Linked DNA regions of Oryzias latipes. The protein of the gene in region 1 interacts with the protein of each later gene in a biochemical or structural test. Links are inferred from orthologs where the notes say so. Each region holds a gene or a part of one and is shown on either strand. Other genes may lie near its edges.

The links.
Region 2: the proteins of drd2 (region 1) and ncs1 form a complex in vitro, tested with the Homo sapiens proteins (2 studies listed by BioGRID, with this or other methods). The link is inferred for Oryzias latipes from reciprocal best matches to the Homo sapiens genes DRD2 and NCS1.

Annotation. Positions count from the first base shown.
Region 1 is NC_019871.2:15,647,554-15,651,391, reverse strand, and holds part of drd2 (D(2) dopamine receptor), read left to right. Parts: intron 1-2,155; coding exon 2,156-2,292; intron 2,293-3,838. UniProt on the Homo sapiens protein: Dopamine receptor whose activity is mediated by G proteins which inhibit adenylyl cyclase. Positively regulates postnatal regression of retinal hyaloid vessels via suppression of VEGFR2/KDR activity, downstream of OPN5.
Region 2 is NC_019867.2:19,604,247-19,606,989, forward strand, and holds part of ncs1 (neuronal calcium sensor 1), read right to left. Parts: intron 2,217-2,743; coding exon 2,128-2,216; intron 2,052-2,127; coding exon 1,974-2,051; intron 735-1,973; coding exon 636-734; 3' UTR 627-635; intron 162-626; 3' UTR 1-161. UniProt on the Homo sapiens protein: Neuronal calcium sensor, regulator of G protein-coupled receptor phosphorylation in a calcium dependent manner. Directly regulates GRK1 (RHOK), but not GRK2 to GRK5. Can substitute for calmodulin. Stimulates PI4KB kinase activity.

The DNA.
Region 1 (3,838 bases):
ACTGAAGCCTGCAGCACATAACTGTTTCCAGAGGGCTAGTTCAACATCAAAACGGATCTGATCAGTAATGACAAGCATCATTTCTGGTCCACTCGCAGGATGCATGTTCCTTGTTGCTTTGGGCTAAAATTCCCATTGATCAAAAGCAGAGCAGGTAATATACTGGTGCATAAGAAGCTATGCATCAGTCAGTCGAGATGGACTATGATGGAGGTGCATGCAGAACAGCCTCAAAGTTAAAATATAGTGAAAAATGACAGCCAATGTTGTAGGTGTTTACATGTCATGGTTAATGATATATCTTTGGCAGCGCTTTAACCATCAGGTAAACAGCTGAAGTATAATTTACACCCATCCTCTCAGCGTTAAACAAACTGCATTTGGTTAAGTAAACATAGCTACCTCTAGATATAGACCTAGCTTCTAATCTCTTTGTGCTCTAATGTCACTTGAAAATAACATTCTGCCTTTTAAGACTAAGAAAAAAATGTACAAATGCTTTCAAGTTGATAAGCAGAACTAAAACATATGGCGCTAAAAGTTTTTGCACTGCTGACCCAAATCCAGTTTCCAATGAACATCTTTTGCATATTTTAATCAGTTTATCAATTTTAATAAAATAGCAGATATAACCTCAGCATTGTTTGTGAATCTCAGCATCAATTACTAGTTATTAGCTTCAGTACTGTGAGCAAATCGTATCACAAACTTACAAAGAACAGTGAACAGCTGCATTATTTCCCACAAGGTAGAATGAAAATGAAATAATTCTACATTTAGTAAATAAACAGTGCTGTACCTTTGGGTAAAATCTGCAATATCTTGCAAACTACAGCTCCATGGGATAAAGATGAGCCTTCAGGTCCCTGGCACATTGCCGAGCTTCCAGACACTGATTATGAGAAATTTATTTGCTTCAGTCTGCCACCTCTCTTTGCATGTGTTCACTGTTCCCCCATGCTGATTTTGATTTATTAATTTACTATAACAATAAATTATTTTTTTAAATAAGAAAAATTTATAATGATTAAAGGAAAACCCTTGCAGGTAATCACATTGAACTCATTCTAACCATAAACATGGACAACCATTTGTGTTGAATTTCAACTGAACACAGTTCCATTCCCTAAACAGAGTAATGGCAAAAATTGTGTGTTAAAACTTTTAGCCGGATTTATTGTATTTGCACACTATTGTCCTGTCATTTAAGTATGTATGAGGGACCAAGCAGTACAGGACTGTTGGGGACCAGGCAAATGGTAGAACGACACAGGGATGTTTGACAAGGTTGTTTTTTTTAATCCACCCAGAAAATAAATAAAAACAACTTAACTGAAACAACTGGCCTGTAAAAGAGTTAAATTAACATAACAATTGTAATCATTGACTGTACATAAGAACTGGACTGAGTGAGTATGAGTCCCCCCGAGAAAAGGCTTACTTCTGGCTCCAGCAAAATGAAGTTAATTAAGCTACCATTTTTTCGCAATACGGATGCCACCATGTAAATAAGGACATGGCCTAAAAACCTTGCTTTTACCACAAGTCCACTTCCCCCTTTGTCCCTTCTTTTGCGTCTAGAGGAGCACACAGAAACAGCATACAACCCCACATTAGTAATGTGTGCACGCCATCCAACACACGGTCAAATATAGAAATAAAGGCTTTGTTGATTAATGTAAGATAAATCAATGTACCATATGTCTGTTTATGTAACCATGTGAGCACACATTAAAGCACAGATTACTGTTAAAAAACTGCTTTTATTGACCAAGCAAAACAGTATAATGGCTCAAAGCAGTCTTTTAACTGTCAATTTTTCTGTTGACCAATAGTGCACATTATATATATAATATTACCTTTTTATTCAAAAATAATCAGCAATAAAACAGAATATTAAGTTCATCAACAGGCCTAATGGCAGACCTATGATTCATTTAATGCAATTAAACAGAAATATAAGAAACTGAATATGATAATATACTGAACGAATGAGTAGATTTAACAAAGTTCTTGTCTTACTTTGTTCTGCCTGATCCCTTTACCTTGTTGAGTTAGGTAGAGTAAATTCCAGTAAATATGGTTCACGTGGCTTTCCAGGAGGCTGGCACAGTGCGCAACACACTGTAACTGTTTCTTTTTCTACCCTTTTCAGATACACAGCAGTGGCAATGCCAATGCTGTACAACACACGCTATAGTTCCAGGAGAAGAGTCACAGTCATGATCTCTGTGGTCTGGGTTATGTCTTTTGCCATATCATGCCCCTTGTTGTTTGGGCTTAATAACACAGGTAAGAATGTTTGAAATGTACACTCCTTTCACACATTTTCCATTTTCACTTCTTCAAAGCTTCTGAATATAGTAACAGTAAAGGTAAAGTGTCTAAATCAGAGGATTTCATAAAACAAAACAAAAAAAGGGGGACGTTTTTTGTCCTCAAGCGCGATATTACCAAACATCAGCATATAAACATACTTCTTAAAATGCATTAAAATGCATTTTTCTTAAAATGCATGCAAATACCGCTGCACCATGGGCGGCCATGGTGCAGCGGTAGGGCGGTCGACCCATGATCATAAGATTGCAGGTTCGATTCCCGCCTTGCACGCCCATGAGTCGAAGTGTCCTTGGGCAAGACACTGAACCCCAGCTTGCCTCTGGTGGTAGGCGGGCGCCTGTGTTTGGCAGCGGAGCCGCCACCAGTGTGTGAATGTGTGAGTGAATGTGTGTGTGACTGGGTGAATGGGTCTGTGACTGTAAAGCGCTTTGTCCTTGTAGGAAGAAAGGCGCTATACAAGTATACGCCATTTACCATTTATACGCCATTTACTTCTTAAAATAATCCATATGTAGTGACTAATAAGCATTGTAGTTAAAGAAAGTAACTTTAATTTAAGATCTACCCTCTGTCGTTTCATTTAGTTCATTGTCTCAGTTTTTCATGCGATAAATGCAGTCAGGCTAAGTCAATGAAAATTGTAGGAATTGACACTAAAGGACAATTTTTCAGATTATTAAACTTAAAAGTGGTGAAAAAAGACAATGTTAAGCGTCATAGAAAACATATGCGTTCGCCGATTTATCCTTTGTGACTATATTTCTGTGAGACATGAATGGTGAAAAAATGAAACAGCTTTCTTCTTCTACCCCTGCTGGTATCCCTTCAAGTCAGACTGGAGCTTTGCCACAAAACAGGAGCATCAAATTACTCCAGCTACAAGGGCTATTTTGCAATCTGTCTGTGTGTATATAAAGAACAGTTGTAACTCATGTTGGTTTGTTTTCAAAATGATTATTCTTTGTAAAGCATAGAAGTAACATTGAAGCAGACTGTGGTCAGACTCACACAAGAAGCACCTCAAGCTGTGTGGGCAGCTTTCTACAATAAAAATGAAACAACATCCTTTGTTTTTGTGTTTGTTTTTTACAAAAATACGTTTATTCTTTAACATTTCCATTTGAAATTTACAACAAATCATAGAATGATTTTGAATTTTATTTCTTTATTTATTTGTCTATTCATTTTTTAATTTCTTTATTTAATTATTTAAGCAATAATATTTGTAAAAACAAAACAGAAAGAATTTGTCATTGGTTGATAGATGTTTAGAAATGTGTTTCCAATGTTAAAAGTGTAGGGTGTATTGTTCATGCACCTATAGAAGAAATAGTGCATATTTGCACATTTATGAACAGCTGAATTTTAAGGTTGAAAAAAACAATTCCATACCCAGCAACCGAACATCATGATCCATCTTTATCACAGAGAATGTATGATTAAAACAATATAATGGTTGCATTGTGGAGCTAATACAAACTGTATTGCAAACCCCTGT
Region 2 (2,743 bases), on another chromosome or scaffold:
CGATGTGGATGAACTGCTACAGCACAGGTGTCGTTTGGCCATGCGACAAAGCTTTATAGTGCGCTCCCTTGGTGATGAAAGTTAAGTAAGCGTTTCCGCCTGCTGCAGGGTGATGGTGCTGGATTGTTGACTATCAGCAGGAGGATGCTAAATGGTCCCATCTGAGAAGAGAAGAGACTGTATTAGTTTAAACAGTCATGATGAAAAGTGTGATCATACATGAGTGCTTATAACATGGTAGACAATGGCTAAACAGCTTTACTGAAGATACATGTCTTTATAAGCTCACTTCACAGTTGATTAAACGCTGAGCAGGATGTTAGCAACAATTGTCAGCAGCCAGAATATGACATCAGGCAGTGAGAGGATAGGGATGTCTCCCTCCTCATTCATCACTGCAAGACTATCAAGCTGCCAGAAAACAAGTGGGCCATCTGAATAATTCATAAGAACAAACTGAGAGCAGAAATTGGCTTACACCCCTGAGTTTCAGCACATGGACTGAATATCTTTTCTGATTTTTTTTTAAAGCATTAGAGTGTATTAGAGCTGAACTCAGGCGTGACTAGGAAATGGCATTCCCAATGAGAAGCATGCATGAACCAGTCCATCAATCTGTCACTCACCTTCCATTCCTACACAAGTCCATCATATAGAGACAGGGCCTGAACAATGGAGGGGTCTGCCTTCGAGCCCTCCTGAAACTCTTGCAGAGTCAGCTTTCCATCTGCATTCTGCAAGGAGGAGCAAAAATGACCCTCAAGATTAAAATGTTTAGCAAAGATATGCCAGCAGAGGGCAAAAAGGGATTTCTGTCTGAAGTAGAACTGGCTGATCTCTAAAATAAAACAAGTGTTTGGTGAAACCATAAAAGAACATAAATACATGAGAATAGTCATACATTCTGAGAAAAAAGCCAAAACTTGACAAAAATAAAGTTGTGCAATAATTAAAAAAAATCTACATTATTCAAGAACAAAATAATAATTTTAAGATTTAAAAAGTCATAATTTTTGCACGGAAAAAGTTGTGCTTTTTCAAAAATAAAGTTGGAATTTGATGAAAATAAAGTTGTATATTTACAATTGATGTTTTATTCTGTTTTTTTCTTATTCTTAAACCTTGTACAGTGACCTTGGGTGACCTGAAAGGTGCTTGAAATAAAATGTATTATTATTATCATTATTATTACAACACAAAGGTAAAGCAAATTCAGCAAGATTTTTGGAGCAGATCTCCATCCAATTTCTCTGATTTGTTTGCAACATTGATTAAAAGGGTAATGTTCGAAATGTGTTGAAACATTTTAAAAGCTAAAAATGTTATTTTATTTTCAAAAATAAAAGACTTTTTCCTTGTAAAATTAATTACCTTATTCTCATAAATTGTTGACATCTCTTGATAATTCTGCCTTTTTTCAGAAATCATTTGACTTTTTTTTCAGAACAGTAATAAGCTTTTTCTCAGCATTGTAGGCTATGACTTTATCTTCATAAAATTAGACTTTTTTTTTTAAACATTTTTCGACTTTATTCTCATATATTTGTTTTTTTTCCCCAAAAAATCCTGCCTTGGCCATTAACAAAATGACAAATAAATAGTGCAGGCTGTAGAGTTAGCTCTACAGGCGGATCTAATATGACAATACTGTTTCATCTATTACCAGAGCTGCAAAGAGTCTGGGGGCAGATGGAGTGGGCAGTAAAGGCTAATAGTGGAGATGAGTATAAGTGCAGGTGGTGTAAGTGATGCTGCTGAAATGGCTACAGAGAGCTCTCAGTTTAACAGTGTCTGTATTAGAGCCCCAAGGGTGCCAGTAAGGCTACACTCAGTCCTATTACTCTTAAACAAGTGATTCAATGAATACTGCACTTGATGCTGTCAAGCGCTCATACTGACCTCTAAAAGGTCGGACCAATTGATGCAATTCTCTGCTTTAATTTGCTGTTTGTCAGGTCTAGTTCAATACTAACCTTGTCCATCATTGCAAAAATGCGGTCGACTCGCTTTTCTGGTGTGTTCTCCTCCTCTGGCAATTCCACAGTGTTTCCCTTAGACATCACATCATTACACTGTGAACCGTGATGCTAGTGCAGGTAAACAGAGGGGATGTGTTTCTAAACTTACCACCATTTGGTATATGGCATCTACGATGTTTAGCATTTCATCACGAGTTATATAGCCGTCATTGTCGAGGTCATACAATTTAAAAGCCCCTGTAGAAAAAAAAGACAAAATGTCAAAACATATAACTCTCCATGAAGAAAAATATGGTAAAATAGAAATAAAAATAGAAAAATATATAGAAATAGAAATATCTCGGTGGAAACATTTGCTGCGGCAGTCAGAGACTAATTACAAGCTCAACAAAACATTTCTATCTGCAATATAAAAAAGATTGACGTATACACTGGTCTCTCGCTATATTGCGTTTCAGCTTTCGCAGTCATTGTCTTTGTATTTATCTTTTTAGTAATAATAGATTTAAGTTGCTGATATTCCAAGAAGTTATTTGTTCTATGTTTCTCTTGAAGTTCCTGGGGTGTTATGAATCTTCTATCAATAAATAGGTGCTCTAGTAGTGTTCCGCCCCCTGCTTGCCAAGCTGGGAAGCGTAACATTTTTTGCACTCTGCATCCTGATTGGCTGTAGACCTTGTGACTCAATCTTCTCCTTAAACACAATCATTTAGCCATATTTACATAAATCTTCGATCATGGTCAGGTTTTTGTTTTAATTCTAT